Linked DNA regions of Nothobranchius furzeri. The protein of the gene in region 1 interacts with the protein of each later gene in a pairwise test. Links are inferred from orthologs where the notes say so. Each region holds a gene or a part of one and is shown in the gene's direction. Other genes may lie near its edges.

Region 1 (6,561 bases):
ATACAATGCAAACAGTGACTTTTACATTACAATCAAAAGAGGGCATTTCAAACGCACTTTGAGAAAACTACCAGCTCTTGAGGGGCAGCAGATTGGGGAGTTTGTGTAAGCGTTGAGGAAGGTTGAGCCGAGCTCCCTGAGGTAGTTAATGTATGGAAGATGTACAAGTCTACTGCCAGGATCAACGGACAATCGGCCATCCTTCACACACACACACACACACACACACACACACACACACACACACACACACACACACACACACACACACTGTTAACCATCTCAATTTTAGATCCTGCCACTCTGATTCAGTCACTGGAGGATACGTCAAGAAATAAAGATGTGATTCTACTTGCCAATGCGTCACTCATCACCAAAACGATATTTGGTCTGGAAATATTTTGGCTGTCACAAAAAATTTGGAGGACGAAAATAAACACCAACATAAAGATGCTCATGTTTTCCTCGGAACTCCAACAGATATCTAAAAGTAAAGAAAAAAATTCCCAAACTGAGGCTTTTCACGGGTTTTACCCTAACGTGTTGTCTTTTTTCTTTTTTAAATAATTTATTTTTACTACCGCGCTGTCGGTGGGAGGTATTGTATTTACTTCCTGGTCATGATTTCAAAATAAAAGTATACTATAAAAAAAGGGGGGGTGGGGGGGTTGTTTCGTGTCCATGGGGACAAAGAATGAAACTGATATTTAGAAGGAACTGAAATAAAATAAAACTCAAACAAAATCCATCGTTCATTAACCAATTCATGCATAAAAGTATAGTACCACGAATTAATAAATTATAAACATTGCTAGAAGAGTGTCCCATCTTTTTAATTCAGCGGCAAAGTGGACACTAGAGGGCAGCATGCAACTAGGCATTAAACGTTTGTTTTTTTATTTATTTTTTTAATATTTTGCTGAGCTGGCACTGCAGTCATCCCACCTGTATCTATTGACATCCTAACGTTTAAGGTGCATGTCAATGTGTCCTTTGTATAGATAAAGTAAACAGCTTTCCAGATGTGTTTTATGTAATATGGGAAAAAAACATTAATGAATGCACTAAATGGCATTACATATGGTGTGTCAGGGAATCTATGAAGTTTATTGGATTTAATTGGAGGTAAATGGCATTTGTTAATACTAAATTATAAAATAAAAAATCCCCGTCAGGACAATAATGCCTGATTACCTTTCGGGCAGCATCCCCATACTGGCTGATTAAAAGTAAAGAACATTGGTATTGTTGCAGATCAACAGGTGATTCTGCTGCAGCCCATAGTGGGAACATTGGTTGCCACTAGGTGGCGTTTTGAGTCACGAGTTGTTTTTCTGAAAACTGGGAGCTCAACACAATGAGAAAGAGTCTTCTCAACATACACGGATCAGAATCAGTTAAATAACAATCAAAATGGGTCAGGTATATGAGTTACAACCACAGATGATCTGTTTTTAGTTTTATAATTAATATGCATGTTCTATACATCTACTCTGAACAGCCCTATGCCGTGTGCATCATGCAAAATGCAGCTCTTTGGATTTTACAATGACATTGCTCTGATTATGTAAAAGCGTTGTGTAAAGTGTTCACAATAAGCCTGCAGGCTGTGGCTCCAAAATAAAAACAAAATTCACACGTTTTGTGTGATTTTAAAAAATACTTACTCAAATATTGAGGTGGACTATGTACAGACTGGACTAAATCTTATTATTATATTGATAATTGATATTTTTAATGTTACAATTCGCCCCAAAAGCCTCACCCAGGACTATTGCAAATATTTCTTTATGCGGTGTTTCAGGTGCTTTTACCATACTTGCAGGGCGGCTGGATGAATGTGAGCTTTGCCTCACACTGCTCTGCCTGCCTTGTTCCAGAAGGCGAGAAGGTGGGGGCTGTGCAGCCACGCGCAGGCGCAGAAGGTTGTTTTTCACACAGCTTCTGGTTTAAAGTGAGCTGAGCTCCGGGGGTTTCCTTGTCTGTGACTGAGACCATCAAGGAGACAGGCAGATGATAACAGCATCCATTGCTGGTTATCAGCCTTCACAAAGCTCAATGAACTGCTCACAAAGAAGCCACTGATCGTGCCCGCTGCTTCTTGCAGGGCAGAGATACTGATCAGTGTCTCCAACCCCGTTTTTCTTATGAGATTATTTTTTCATTAACTCCTTTTTTTAGAGCTCGAGAAGATCTCTTTCCGCCATGGTGCTAGGAAAGGTAAAGAGCTTCATAGTGAGCTACGACTGTTTTAATGACAGCAACGTCCCCGTCTTCTCCAGCGGGGACTCCGTCTCAGGGAGGGTGATCGTCGAAGTCACCGGAGAAATCCGGGTGAAATCTCTCAAAATCCACGCAAAAGGAATAGCAAAAGTTCGTTGGACTGAGTCAAGAAACGCTGGATCCAACACTGCCTACACCCAGAACTACACAGAAGAAGTGGAATACCTGAACTACAAAGATATTTTAATTGGACATGAAAGAGGTAAGAAGTTTTGTAGAAATTGTGATGCTCCCCTGGTTGGGGATCAGGTTCGCTGAAAGATATAGAGTTGCAGGGCTCAATAACAGGATAATTGGTTCGATTAAAGACTAAATAAAGACCTGTCACTTTATTGCCTTATTTCAGACGAGATGTTCGGTGGGTATTTAGTTGTCTTTTAAAATCTCCATCGTTGCTTGTTTTTGTGGTCAGAATGAATGACAGCTGCTCACGTATCTTGTGTTTTTCATGGCATTTGAGGCGCATAGGGAGGATTTATCTCATTTAAATACATATTGGAATTGAGTTGATTCTGTATTTTATAGCTATGAAGCTTTGTTTAGAAATTTCATCGCTAAACAACGATGAAGTTTCCACCTATTGTTCAAAGCGGTTCAATCCTGTTCCGAAAACTGGTTTGCGAGGGGGCGGGGGGAAAGCCAGAGCGCACCCTGGCTCGTGTGTGATTGGTTAAGATGCTAGTGTGTGGCCAATGACATCATTCCCCTGCAGAGTGGCAGAAAAAACTGCAACTTTTTAATCAATGTAAAACACCTGCAGGACACGAAAATTGGTGGTTTTACTGTAAATTTTAAGGAATTGTGAGTTGCAACCAGGATGTGCTGGACATTTGAGATTTCTTTGCTCTTAATTTTTAATTAAAATCAAGAGTTTTTTTTTTCTTATACCAGTGAATGCAGTAAAGCTTTTATTTGCATGTATTCGGTTAGGTCTGTTAGCATGGATTATGTTAAGCTAACATGTCCGAGACGTGGTGATATTGTCGCTGAACGATTTAATATTTATTAGCGTTGGGAACACGTGTTTAAATAAGTGGGTAGCAGCTCCTTTAGTCTTACGGGACCACAGAGCTTGTCAGACGCATTTATGTATGTGGTTGTTGTGACTGCGGCGTCGCGGAGTGAATACGTAATGCCGAGGGAAGCTGCTCACACCGGTTTAGTCCGGTCTTCTCCTGCTGGAGTCTGTCTCTTGACTGACAGCTCCGCACTTGTTTACCACACGGCTTCTGCTAGGGGGAGGGTGTGCTGAGCTGGCAAGGGCTGCGCACACGTCCTTATCCGCCACATATTTACCTTTTCATGTAAAATGAGCAATATTAAATAAAAAATTCATAATTCCCCCCCCAAAATAAGTGAGAAGGCATCGCTTCGCTTTGCCCCATAAAATTACTTGTGCATTAGCATCACTCACGTTCAGTTTCTGATTTCTCCAAATTTTACTCTGCTGTTTTTTAAAATCTCAATACACTTAATTTCTAACAGACAAGATCAATTGTAAAACCCGTTTATTCTCTTTTTGTCTCCCCCACCCTGTGTTCTTTGATATGACTTACAGATGCCTTCGTAGAGCATTTTGTCCAGGTATGGTATACATGTGTTTGGAATATTGTCCTCCTTGTTTTTCAGACGATGACAACTCGGAGGAAGGACTCACTACAATCCATGCAGGAAGGCATGAGTATGCATTCAGCCTCGAGCTTCCACAGACGTAGGTGTCCCAATACGAAACTAGAATCAGAGAAAAAGTTATTTAGATTTGAGAACTTGACCGTTTTTCTCCTTTCTGCCCTTCTTTTACCGTCACCTGCAGACCTCTGGCTACCTCTTTTGAAGGAAAACATGGCAGTGTGCGCTACTGGGTGAAGGCAGAGCTCCACAGGCCATGGCTCCTGCCCATGAAGACTAAGAAGGAATTTACAGTCTTTGAGCACATTGACATCAACACTCCGTTATTGCTGGTAAGAAGTCATAGGAATGATGAAATGCATAGCTTTTATGTTTGTAAACTAAGAAAAAATGTTTATAAGATGTTTTTTCTCTACTTTTTCAGTCGCCTCAGGCCGGCACAGCAGACAAGACGCTTTGCTGTTGGTTCTGCACCTCAGGTCCAATTTCCCTAAGTGCCAAAATTGAAAGGAAGGGATACACCCCAGGTGAGGATAAGTGAATAAACGATAAGGTTGTTACTCATCTGTTTACCAGATGAGCCAATGGGATGATCACATTCTGCAGGATTCTCTACTTGTTACTGATTACTCATAATTAGGGTTCCTATCACTAGAGAAAAATATTAACTTCCATTATGTCTTATATTTGTGTAGGCGAGTCTATCCAGATATTTGCCGAGATCGAGAACTGCTCGTCCCGCGTGGTGGTGCCAAAGGCGGCCATCTACCAGACACAGACCTTCTATGCCAAAGGAAAGGTGAAGGAGGTCAAGCAACTGGTGGCCAACCTGCGGGGGGAGTCCTTGTCCTCTGGCAAAACGGAGACCTGGAATGGCAAAATGCTGAAGATCCCACCTGTGTCCCCCTCAATCCTGGACTGCAGCATCATCAGAGTGGAGTACTCCCTCATGGTGAGTTTGGTCTTTCTCTCACACACTCGATGAACATTTAGGTCAGGTGCCCGTTTTTGTTGTTTGTATTTGTTTTGAGACGACGGGCATACAAGGGTTTCTGCTTTCATCAGAATCAATATTTCCTTGTAAGCCAATATCCCGGTAAAGGTGCCTGGCTGACTCGGCTTGCATAACCAAATCTGGACCTGGGATTGTACCAGGTGTTATGTCCGCATGCTGCTAAGCGCATTAGCCCAGAATAATGGAGGCAACACCTGCCCTGAGGGTACTAATAACCTCTTTACCCTTCACATAGACAGATAACTGATTTGAACACACTGACCCACATGACCAGTTTACCTAAATATTGGTTTGCAGATTGGAATGCACAGCTCTGTAAACTCCCATTTTCAAGATCTAAATTGCTGTCATGTCCTCGTGTTTGTGCTCAGGTATATGTCGACATACCAGGGGCAATAAACTTGTCCCTGAACCTGCCCCTGGTTATCGGAACCATCCCTCTTCACCCATTTGGCTCCCGCACATCAAGCGTCAGCAGCCAGTGCAGCGTGAGCTGGCTGGGCATGGGTCTGCCAGAGAGACCTGAAGGTAGTTAAAGCAAATGTTTTTTTTCCCCAATTTACACAAATTTGATCGTAATTTTCAAGAAATGCTAAAATGTGATTTCTTCTCCTGCAGCTCCTCCGAGCTACGCGGAGATAGTGACAGAAGAGCAGAGGCAGTGCAGGCTGGATGGTCCTGCAGTCCGAGAGGAGCTGGAGGGTCCGCTATGTGCCTACATTCATGAGTTTCGTTTCCAACCTCCTCCTCTGTACTCTGAGGTCAGCATCCAAATAGTTAAAACATATAATTAGCCTTTCTTCAATAAAAAATCACCTCTTTCACTAAATAACCATATTTTTGTGGTTTTCCTCCGTAGATTGACCCAAACCCGGATCATGCTCGCCGTACCGAGGAGCACAGGCTCGATGCATGTCCTTCGCGCTGAACGTATTCCTAAAATTGCCCTTTCTGACTTGGGGCACTTCAAGGAACCCGCTTGCAAGACTGAGCTTTGAACATTTTCTCAGATAACGGTGCTTTCATAGTGCTGTTGACATCTTGAGGAAAAAGGCATCACTTCCAACTCAAGAACTAGCCTGTAGTTGGCCAAATGCGTTCTGCCCCCCCATCAGTAAGAGAAACAGAAGTCTCTAGTTTGGGGTATAACTACCTTCCTGTGTCAGCCTTCTGAGGAGCTTTCAGTCTGTAAGGACCCCACACAACACACACACACACCTGTTGGACCAAGGCTCGACCTGCCAAGCTCCTCTTCAGCCTTGATTCTTCTGTTCTTGTGGCACATTAAGGACATGACTCCTAACAAGAAAAAGAAGGCCAGATTACTCGGTTCCTGGCATCAGTAGATTCACCTTCAAAAGAAAAAAATGGGGTGGAGAAAAAGTTCTAACCGCCGTAGTCCGTGTGAATGAAGGCGTTCAGCTGCAGTGAACAGAGCTAAGGCTAGGTCCTGTCTCGTGGGATTTTGTTTTGCACATTTTATTGTTTTTACTTGAGTTGTGTGGCTCTGTTTTAATTTTTTAAATCACTAATTGTTTGGTTTTGGCTTAGCAAAGCACCAGACCGAGATCGCTAGACTGCAAGCTTAACCTTTGAGACGATCATCTGCAGAGACCGGGATTTGACTTTTGAGA
Region 2 (6,013 bases), on another chromosome or scaffold:
TGGGGTTAGTGTCTGCGCTGATTAGGTAAGCAGCATCCTTCTAGTAGAATCTTTACAAGTAGGCCGAATATCCCTGCAGCTAGATCTTTAACAATAACCATTTCCTGAGTTTGTACATCTCACAGCTTGTGTGTTGTGTGTGCATGTGTGTGTGATGTTTTTCCTTCTTTCTCATTTTTCTTCATTCTGATGGATCTAATGTACGCCACTTCTACACCTGGCCATGTCTGTTTGGCAGCACCTACTAGAGGAGGTTGGTTGGTACCTCCTTCCCTCCCTATGCCTGCCCTCCTGCCTGTCTGATCCAGTCTGGTCAAGTGCCTGCAGACAGCCTTGCATATTTAAAATGTTTTATTTTTTTTACTTTCTTTCTCCTTTTCTTCTCTTTCCCTGTCATGACCGGCATGAATGGATTGTATCTCTTCCCTACTTTCTGTGTCCCCCCCCCCCTCTTTTTGTTTCTGCGAGCGCCACCCCTGCACCACTAGTACATCTCCTGTTTATGATGAATATTTCAGAGCTCTGAACCGTTCTCTTGGGATTCCTCATATTTCTCCATGTTCGTGTAACTGTGTAGCATCTGAGGCACAGCCAGACAATTTGGCACAGTGGAACAACGTGAAATCCTCTGGGCATTTGTTGGAGGGAGAAATGCACCTAAAAAGATGGAAGAGGGAAATGAGCCAAACGTGTTGGAGGAAGGAACCTGTGTCCTGCATATCTTAGCTTATTTTTAGTCCACACACTCGCAGCAGCAGCGTACCAATGTTGCTGTAGCAAAACTTCGCACAACTTAAAATGGGCAGGTTTTATTCTTCTCTCCACCCTTTTGCTCATGATTTATTGTTATTGTTTGATTGCCTACGAGCATACGAATGTGCGTGGCCTGTTACAGTGTACCGAGTGGTCACCCTGGTGTTGGTGGTGTCACACTGGGTTGTACCAGTGGTGACTGACTTTTATGTTGTGGTCATACCCCTGCCTTGCTGATGTGTTAGACCCGACTCAAATAGAGCAGGGAATCCTTTTATTTCCTTTTTCTGTGTTCGATTGAGCTTGCCTCACCTCTTTGTGCTGGGATGTCTTTGTTCTGACTGTGGAATGGTCGACCAAGTTCAATTAAACACCATTCAGAAAGGAAACGGAAACGGCTGGATTTAAGTTACTATTTGAGCACAACATGTAAAGAAGATGCAGCAAGAGGTTTTCCCTCATTAGGTTTTGCTTTTTGTTTGTTTTTCAGCCTGGATGGGAAGAAAGAGTTCACACAGACGGGCGCACCTTTTACATCGACCACAGTAAGATAACCGTCTACCTTTTCCACACTTCTGCATTTTTCTGCTTTTAGTTTTTGCTTCGTCTCAGCCCCTTAAAGGGATAATGCTCCCCTTTTGGAAAACTCATAAACTAAGTTTAAATGCAGATTAGATTAAAGTCTGTCACCATAAAACCGAGCTCCAAAATGCTCTTGTGGTTCATTCAAACATTGTTTTGATATTTGACACCGCTCCCAGCTTCAACCAGTGGGTGTGGTACTTTCAGTGCAAACAGTCTGACAGAAACTCTTTATTAAAGCGACACTGGGCAGGCGGTGTTGGCTTCATTTAACATCCCCTAGTGTCCGTTTCTGGGGCGAGATGATTATTTATAAAAAATATTTCGGGAAAATGCTAAAATGGGAAGACAGGGTGAAATTGGTTAAAAACAGGAGTTTCCCAGCCCAAATGGGAGACAGCTATGGTTCTGGGGTGTAAACTTGGATTGCCGTAAAGCAGTACTGCTTCTCACGAGATAAGTGGCTTTGCGAGACTTCAGGTGACCAATCAGGAGAGACTCGAGTTGCAAATGTGAAATTCTGCCTTCAAGGAGTGGAGGGGACTGAGAGACTGTTCAATTGTCATTTCACGTGCTGTCCTAACCGTACATAGCTACAAGTAGCTAGAAGGCTAGCAAACAAGTTTTTTTAAACTAATGGTCTTAATAAATGATTTTTCACTATAGCTACAATATACAAATAAGAAAAATGCATTACTAAAACACACATCTTAGCACCACACTTAGCAATTAGCCTAATTTAGCACATGTTTGCTGGAAATATTTCATGAACTAATTAACTAACACACATCCGAACATTCCCTAATCTCATCAGTAGTTACAAAGACGAATAAACGATCTTATAAATCACATTCAACGTGTTCATGAGTCGTTTACTTTCTTTTCTGACTAAATGTCAACAACGTAAAGAGAGTTGACAGTGCTCACTCGCGTTTTAGACAATATAACAAAGATGGTTTATAGAGATGTCTCACGTTGATCCGTTCTCTAAACTTGAAACTTTAACTTGTTTAGAACAAATTTATTTGTACTATTTATGAACTTATTTTAGGGATACACGTTTTTCAAAATTTCTTTAAGCAGTTATTGGCGCCCGTTAACGGTTAATAGCCGGTTAACCCAAGCACAGCAGAAGGGACTTGTAGCAGTCATCCGGGCAAAACTGTTTTACCCGGTTAAACCATAAATGGCAATTACCCAGTTAACTATGTACATCCCTAACTTATTTATCTAACTTTTCTCATCATGAACTTGATAATCATCTTTGTCCAAAACGTAGTAACTTACAAAGGGCATCACAGAGCGTTTGCCAGGATTATCACAGGGAGAACGGGATTCAGCTGCTGTTAGAGACAAATTAATGTGACACTTTTTTTTTCCTATTGACTTACTTAAAATAAAGTAGTTATTTTTCCTCAAATAATGTTTAAAATGTAAGCATGCTTGATGGGAGAAATGTAATGTTAGCACCCTAAATAATTTATTTTTTCTTTATTTGTCAGGGGGACCCCGCATATATCGATATCATAAGATATAATAAGAGTTGGGCAATATTGATATGCCGGTTATTGATAAAAATGCCAATATCGAACATTCCTAGGAATGGCTGGTTTTGTTTTGTTGTGTGTTCTTTAAGCTGTTATAAAAATTTAAAAGACCTTGTTCAAAAAGTATGACACAGTTACTTAGTGTACCTTTAATTCAGCCAAAACAACCTTGCAATTCGAAACTGTTGACGGTGTGAAAATAATATTCATATGAACCATTAGGACATTTTGGAGGTAGGAGCTGTTTTAGAGCAGGAGCGCTACAGTTTGGGCTTGACTGCGCTCTACCAGACTGTCAGTCCTGTTGAACACTGTTTCTTCAAACTGAGGCTGTTCATAAAGTTTTTACAATAGGTAAGATACACATGTATGGCTTTTGACACAGAAACAGATTTAAATGTCTGATATTTTATCTTAAATCTTATTAAATCAGAAGTCCTGAACTAGAGCGCCTTTCCCCCCAATTAAACAAAATATTAGTGATGCACCGAAACACTCGTCTGGTGATTGGTGTTGACCAATATTCAGCATGTCCAGATCACCGCTTTAATGCTTGAAATATAAAATAACAATGATTATAATCAAATGTAGTTTTAAATGGGCTAACGTTGATATAACAATCTGTAATTATGTAACTAACAAAGAAAAGAAATTGACCTCTGGCGCTTGTGGATGATCCACTAGAGGACAGTAGGACTGGTATAGCAGGTTTGAGGGTTAGCTGGTGATCGGCCAATCACAACCATCAGTTGTTCTGGGAGCTGTTGGTCCTTGTTACCACAAAGCTAAAGAACAAAAAGTCATATTTGTCCTGCTGAACCAGAATTTTCCCATTGCTAAATGCTAACTCCTTCTAGTGAACCCCGTGGTTTAGATTCAGCTTTAATTATAGTCTCATATGTTGGTTTTATGGCACATCTGTGAGTGCAACACTTCCTCTCTTGCTGGTTTGTTTACTTTAGACCTCTGAACCTTTTCTATTGATAGCATTGACATTTTAGCTTGTTTAAAAATCCTAACCTTTAATTTAACTCCTAAAGGCAAAGCAACAAGACATTGTTTGAAATGTAAAACAGCTTTTTGTGTTCCTGTTCAAATGAAAGTAGAAGAATTAGGCCGCTGAAATGAATTTATCTCGCGCAGATACCAAGACCACGCAGTGGGAGGACCCCCGCTTACAGAGTCCAGCTATCACAGGACCTGTGAGTAGTTCCCTCTCAGATACATGAATCCCCACATGTAGCCGTGAAGTTTTAATCTGATTCATAATCATCACTTTAACATCAGCAGCTGTCATCTGATTATGACCACACGCCTCCTCCCCTCTGTGTGTTTGTGCAGGCTGTTCCCTACTCCAGAGAGTTCAAGCAGAAATACGACTACTTCAGGAAGAAATTAAAGAAACCGGTAAGAAGTGGTTTCTTCTATGGCATCTTGGATGGAACTGGAATTAGATGCTTTTAAATGAAATTTTATATACGTGTAAGGTCAGTTATGTACAATATTCTGGATTAATGTTTGTGATAAACCAAACACTTATTGTTTAAAAAAAATGTTAGTTTGATTTGGCACATTTAGTTAAAGTTAAAGTCCCATTAGTTGTCACACACTGGTGACATTATTTCTCTGCATTTGACCCATCCCCGTGGGGAGCAGTGAGCTGCAGCGGTGGCTGCGTTCGGGAACTATTTGGTGGTTTAACCCCCCAATCCAAAATCTCAATGCTGAGGGAGGAATTGGGTCCCATTTTTAAAGTCTTTGGTATGACCCGACTGTGGATTTGAACCCTCAATCTCCCAGTCTCAGGGCAGGTCACAGAGCTAAATCTTATTTTAATAAAAACTGAAAAGAGTTTTCAATATTTAGACTGAACCATTTTCAGTTTACTAGAACTATCTATTTTAATTGTCTTGCGCTTCTTTCTTTTGTCAAAGAATCATAAAAAAATGTTTGTATAGTAACTTTTCAGAAAGGACATTGATGATTTATTTTAGTAAAATTTAGACTCAGTAGTTTGTGCTTTGTACCTTCTTTTCCTTGTTTCCTCGTTATTGTTGTTCTAAAGTTTTATTTTGTTTGTGTAAAATGGTAAATGGCCTGTATTTGATACTCTATAGCACTTTCTAGAGTCCTGGAACCCCCCAAGGTGCTTTACAACACAATCTGTCATTCACCCATTCACACACACATTCACACACTGGTGGGGATGAGCTATAATGTAGCCACAGCTGACACTGACAAAGGCAAGGCTGCTGAATAGTGATGCACTGATATGAAAATTTTGGGCCGATACTGATATTAAGATCACTGTCATGGCCAATAACCGATATTTGCCAATACCGATATACAACATTAATGCTTCTAAAATCATCAGATTTTGTACAGAATGAAAATTAATAAAGCTGAATTTATGTTATTATGAACACACAACACACACATTTACAGTTCTGAGATGATTTCATTCACTGTTCACATGACTAAACAAATCCCCACCCTCTGAAACAGGCAAACAAATGGTGACGAGATGGAAAAAATATCGGTTGTTAATATCAGTCTGGTTTTATTTATCTAACCGATACCGATATGTTAAAACATGACTAGCATTGGCCAATACCGATATTGATGCAGATATATTGTCCATCCCCACTGTTGAACATTGGCGCCACTAGTCCCTCCGGGAGTAGGAGGCTTATTTAGGATATATCCCATATCCCAAGTAAAAACAAGAAAAGAAAATAAGGCTTTATTATTTAACTGAAATGAGATTAAAACATTTTTGCATCCGAGCAGTAGATATTTATTCTCTGCACCGTTTGCAGGCTGATATCCCAAATCGTTTCGAGATGAAGCTGCACAGGAACAACATCTTTGAGGAGTCATATCGTCGAATCATGTCGCTGAAGAGGCCGGACGTTCTGAAGGCACGCCTGTGGATCGAGTTCGAGTCGGAGAAAGGATTGGACTATGGAGGCGTGGCCAGAGAGTGGTTCTTCCTTTTGTCTAAAGAGATGTTCAATCCGTACTACGGCCTGTTCGAGTACTCTGCAACGTAAGCCTCTGATTGTTTGTTGGTGATTACGTTCCTAAAGGAAAAGATTAGAACAACGGGACACAGCGTTTTGAGGAGCCTT
Region 3 (5,058 bases), on another chromosome or scaffold:
TCCATTTACGTTGTTTTTCTTTAATCTTTCTTAATCTGTGTGTATGTGTGTGTGTGTGTGTGTGTGTGTGTGTGTGTGTGTGCGTGTGCGTGTGCGTGCTGTCCTAGAACTGGGAGGAGGAATGGGATAAGATTGTAAAGATGGCATCTCCAGTCTCCAGTAGCAACGGCCTCCAGTTTGACTCCCTAGAGGACATTCACATCTTCATCCTGTCCAACATTCTCCGCAGACCCATCATCGTCATTGCAGGTAATCACTTTCAAAGTTCTTTTATTTCCTCTTGCTAGACTTGTAATGATTTCTGCTCTACGAAGGCGTAGAAGTCTCTTTGTTGATGTAAAGGGCTGTTTAGTTGTAAACTTTAGTGTTTTGTTTTGTTGTTCAACAGACCAGGTGGTTAGGAGCATGAAATCTGGCTCCTCCATCTCTCCTCTGAATGTGGGTGGGATTTACCTGCCTCTTCAGTGGAAGTCCACAGACTGCTACAAATATCCACTAGTGCTCGGCTACGACTCTCAGCACTTTGCACCCCTTATCACCATCAAAGACAGCGGTCCAGGTAGGGCACCGAAAGGGAAACCAGCATGGGATAAAGATCTAGTATGTTTGTATTCTTTTATTTATTTTATTTTATTTTTTGTCTAACATCTCGGTTTGAACTGATCGTCCAGAGATTCGAGCAGTTCCACTAATCAACCCGAAACGAGTGGGCTTCGAGGAGCTGAAGGTTCACTTCCTGATGGAGAAGGAGCAGCCGCAGAAAGAGAGGCTTCTCAACGACTACCTGCACATCATAGAGATCCCTGTTATAGGCCTGGGCCATGACACTACGTGGATCATGAAAGCTGCTCGGTATGCAGAGATTATAAACTTGATTGTTGAGAAAGTTTCTTACTTGTTGGCCAGTAATGTGTCTGAGGATCAAAGGGCTAACAGAACATTGTGACTGTCCAAAGGCTGGACGAGGGAAACCTTCCAGAGGACATGAACCTGATGGAGGACTACCTGCAGCTCGTCAACCACGAGTATCAGCGCTGGCAGGAGGACAAGGAGCAGGCGTGGGCCGCCCAGCCGCAGCGCCCACCACCCTTCTCCGTCTCCCAACTGTCCCTCATAGAGATCCGGTGTGCCACGCCACGATGCACCTTCTACGTCTCTGTGGACACTCAGCCTCATTGCCATGAGTGCTTCGAGAAACGACAAGCCACCACCGGAGGACGAGCGAGGATAGAAGGGGTGGTGCAGACGAAGGGAGCAGGTGTACAGGGAGGAGTAGGGGCAATGGGGGGGTCAGAGGCTGAGGTGAGCTCCAGAGGAGCTCGAAACAGCAGTCCCCCATGCTCCTCCTCTGGACGAGGGGTGGTGTTATCCAGCCCCCGCTCTGCCCCGCCCACCGCTCCCAGCCTCAGCCTTTATAGTGAAACTCACGCCATGAAGTGCAAAACACCCGGCTGCCTCTTCACCCTAAGTGTGGAGCACGACGGACTTTGTGAGCGCTGCTTCAACGCCAGACAGAACCACGGACCCCCTGGAGCTGGAACAGCTGCTACAGGACTCCCAGGCACCAACGGAGCACCAGTCGTTCCCCACCCACCCCAAGGCTCCGGCTGGACCCAGTGGGGAGGCCGCGAGACAGAGACGGAGCGGTGCAGCATGTGCAGACAGGAAGCATTCAGGATATTCAATGGTCTGTGCCCACCCTGCATGCAGAGGCAGCAGGCTCCAGAAAGGGGTGAGCCACAGCAGAGCAACCCCAGGACTGAGGCTTCTGCCTGGAGCCAAACCAGAGACGCTGAGCAGCCGTGCCTCACCCTGACCCCGGGACCCACGTCGGCCTGGCAGACCCCTCTGGCCCGGCCTTGTAAAAGATCTGGCTGCCAGTTCTTTGGGACACCAGAGAAATTGGGTTTCTGCACTATTTGCTATGTAGACTATCAGACCAATCATCGTAAGTCCTGAAACAAAATGAACATGTAGACATTTAAAAATAAATACCTTATCAAACTATAAATGTTGATGAATTATCTGGCTTGTTGCTTATGCTTGTGGCTGTTTATTCCAGACTTGACTCCTCCTCCTGCTCCGGTCCAGAACAGACTTGGTTTGGAGGCAGGTTTCCAGAACGCTACACGCTGTCGAGGGTCTGGATGCGGTGCAGTTGGCAAAGCAATGCTGGAGGGCTACTGTGATAAGTGCTACGTCAAAGAGCAGAGTACACGTCTTAACCAAGTGGCACACAGGACGCCACACTCCCCTCCGCTGGTAGGTTCTTGCTCAAACAGCTGATGTCTTTTTTCCTGTTCAGTAGTTTTCTCACAGTACCCCATATCTAATTCTCAGTTGCTGACTAGTCCTTTTTTTCCCCATTTTCTCTCCCTCTTTCTCTATAAAAAGCGCGACCGGGCAGCTAAACCCAGATCTTCACAGCAATCCCAGACCCAGACTCAGTGTCGACGGAGTGGCTGCAGTAACGTGTCCCCGGGTTGCACTGACCTCTGCCCGGAGTGCCACACGCGTGGCCAGGGCCGAGAGGCCGGCAGACGGGCGCAGGCGCCCAAAGAAAAGTCAAAGCAGAGGTGTCGGACACAGGGCTGTGACCACTATGCCAACCAAGAGAAACAGGGCTACTGCAACGAGTGCCACCACTTCAAACAGATTTACCGTGGCTGATCACCCGCGACGCGGAGCGTTAACGACAACTCATTGGTAGCACGCTAGAGCCGCCGCCCTGCAGCGGGCTCCCCATGCCAGTCAATGCACCTCTGATACTAACTAACCAACTAATTAGCTAGTGACTAACTAGTAACCTTATGGCCTGAAAAATCAACCTCCCCCATGTCGAATGTGAAGCGAGAGTGTGTGTGTACATGGGGGGGCTGGTGAGTGTGTGTGTGTGTGTGTGTTTGCATTAGACATGGCCTCCAGAATACCTCTTTGTGCAATTATTATCATCCGATCCGCCGTGTGCTCTTACACGGTTAGAGGTTTGGCGACATGTCAGAGCAACTGACCTAACTCTTGTGTACAGTACGTATTTAGAGGTACGTCAGGAATCGTGCCGGACAAAATGATTGTATATTGGCGTAACAAGAAGCATACGACATTGCTTTATAGACCACAGCCAAGGATTTTTACCCCGTCCGTCTGTATGTCCTAACCCATCTGTGTATCAGTCTGCCTGTCTGTCTAGCATTCGCTCGATCGAGCGAGGGATGCAGTGAGTGTGGCAAGCCCGGGCAGAAAATCTGTGGAAGTAGTCGGCAAAAGTGAGGCGAACTGAGCCAAAGCAAAGCAAGTCAAATGTTTGAAGTTAGATTTGAAACCATATTGTTTAGCTCAGCTGTTCAAAAAGTCTTTTTTTTTTTTTCAATATTTTTTGGTCCTCTAGATATTGAGACTCTCAAACTGTAATTCTTCCCTTCCCTTGGTTCTTAGTGGTTTTTGTGTGTTTTTCTTAAGCTGATTATTTCTCTTTAAGTTAAATGAAATAGCTACATGTGGGAATTCAAAGCAAAACATGTGACCAAACAGAGACCGACAGGGCGGGACCCTGCTAGTTTTGGTGCTACATGTACAGAAACTCGAGCCTCTCCTTTGTAGCCAACATGCTGGCGTCAGAAGGCAGAGAACACAGTGAGGACAGGACTCTTGCCATCACTCCTCCTCTTCCTTTAATTTCCCCTCTTCTCCAAAAACAGATATGTTGCCTTGGACATTATTTTCATGTTTACTTGCAACTTAAGCACCTAGAAACACTTACAAGACAAACAAATGTAGTGTAGCCGGTCCTGTCAGAAGGGAATTAACAAAAGAAAGACCTTATTAGGGAATGGAAGGTGTGTCAGTTTGGATAATTATTCACCTTCTCACCACACACTCGTTTGCTCCTGCAAACACAGCTCTGTGAGATTATATACCCCCACCCGAGCCCGAGGTGACGTGTAGGTAAACAAACCCATAAAGAGTTGCTGTCCTCTACTAAATCCCACTCGAATGTGCCAGGGTGACAGTTTCCAAACTTCAGAGAGCAATCTTGTTGCCTGCTTCGGCAAGTCTTGTTTTATCTGAATGTGCTTTGTGCTGCTTCTGCAGTACTGGGGCTCATCCTGCATACGTTTTGCCTTTAAGTAGTTACAAGCCTTTATGGACCATAGGGGCCTGATCGATGACTCAGATCAGTTCTCCACACCTTTAAAACTCTTGTGAACATGGAACTTAGTTTTTACCGTAGTACCTTTGAACCCGATGCCTCATCTTTTAACTAACACACACAAGGCCCTCGCTGATGTACTTCGGGAACAAAACAAAAGAAACTGACATGTCTAATTTCCTTTGTTGATTCTTCCTTTTGTTTTGTTTTTTGGATGTTTGTTTTTGCCAAAAAAAAAGAAAAAAAAAGTGCCGTCAATTGCCAAACAGTTGTTGTTACCTCCTTAAGACGGCCAGCCTGGGTTATTCTAGTCTAAAGTGTCACAGATGGACATCTTTGTTTTTGTGCAACCCAGATTGAAGACGTCGCAGATGCTCTTTTCTGCAAATTTCTGTTTAATCTAATATTCATTTTCACGTAAAACCTCAAGTGCAAACTATTAATAGAACTCAAATGTGACATCGGCTGCAAGTCATTCCCCTAGACCTTTGCTGAACAGCTAATCTGATGTAGATGTCCATCTGTGGCTTAAGTTAGAAATGACACACAGGCTTTCGGTCTGCCTTTTCATTCAACTGTATCTAAAGCTGTCGTCTACACTCTTGACGGCCTGTGCATAGATCTCTGTGTGCTTTAATCACCTCTAGACGAACCTTAATCATTTAAAGGCCAATTAGTGGTCAGCTCATCGGGGTCCTTTAACAACGTTTTAGGGCTCTGACTGGGTTTTTGCCTGGAAGGAGATCATATAAATTGCACATGATTTGTCTAAGCTGCTGAGGCATTTAGGATTGGTACTCTGGACTCTTGTAGGGACGTTCTAACATGGAATAAAAGCATCGGTGTGAGAGCAGAAGGTGTAACAAAACCTGCAAAAGGGTTTGGAAGTTTCTTTTGACAGTAGGATA

What was found.
Region 2: the proteins of arrdc3a (region 1) and nedd4l interact in binary tests that used the Homo sapiens proteins (3 or more experiments, as listed by UniProt). The link is inferred for Nothobranchius furzeri from reciprocal best matches to the Homo sapiens genes ARRDC3 and NEDD4L.
Region 3: the proteins of arrdc3a (region 1) and tnfaip3 interact in binary tests that used the Homo sapiens proteins (3 or more experiments, as listed by UniProt). The two-hybrid records come from large-scale screens. The link is inferred for Nothobranchius furzeri from reciprocal best matches to the Homo sapiens genes ARRDC3 and TNFAIP3.

The regions. Positions count from the first base shown.
Region 1 is NC_091757.1:41,569,493-41,576,053, reverse strand, and holds the start of arrdc3a (arrestin domain-containing protein 3a), read left to right. Parts: upstream 1-1,994; 5' UTR 1,995-2,205; coding exon 2,206-2,485; intron 2,486-3,841; exon of another isoform or gene 3,842-3,869; coding exon of another isoform or gene 3,870-3,912; coding exon 3,913-3,994; intron 3,995-4,096; coding exon 4,097-4,244; intron 4,245-4,336; coding exon 4,337-4,439; intron 4,440-4,607; coding exon 4,608-4,864; intron 4,865-5,298; coding exon 5,299-5,455; intron 5,456-5,545; coding exon 5,546-5,688; intron 5,689-5,786; coding exon 5,787-5,855; 3' UTR 5,856-6,561. Other genes in the region: arsk (arylsulfatase K), read right to left, coding at 72-201, 357-458. UniProt on the Homo sapiens protein: Adapter protein that plays a role in regulating cell-surface expression of adrenergic receptors and probably also other G protein-coupled receptors.
Region 2 is NC_091746.1:58,526,825-58,532,837, forward strand, and holds part of nedd4l (E3 ubiquitin-protein ligase NEDD4-like), read left to right. Parts: intron 1-1,243; coding exon 1,244-1,298; intron 1,299-4,025; coding exon 4,026-4,084; intron 4,085-4,223; coding exon 4,224-4,289; intron 4,290-5,701; coding exon 5,702-5,931; intron 5,932-6,013. UniProt on the Homo sapiens protein: E3 ubiquitin-protein ligase that mediates the polyubiquitination of lysine and cysteine residues on target proteins and is thereby implicated in the regulation of various signaling pathways including autophagy, innate immunity or DNA repair.
Region 3 is NC_091752.1:25,123,419-25,128,476, reverse strand, and holds the end of tnfaip3 (tumor necrosis factor alpha-induced protein 3), read left to right. Parts: intron 1-107; coding exon 108-249; intron 250-388; coding exon 389-559; intron 560-671; coding exon 672-852; intron 853-956; coding exon 957-1,948; intron 1,949-2,062; coding exon 2,063-2,262; intron 2,263-2,394; coding exon 2,395-2,670; 3' UTR 2,671-2,809; downstream 2,810-5,058. UniProt on the Homo sapiens protein: Ubiquitin-editing enzyme that contains both ubiquitin ligase and deubiquitinase activities.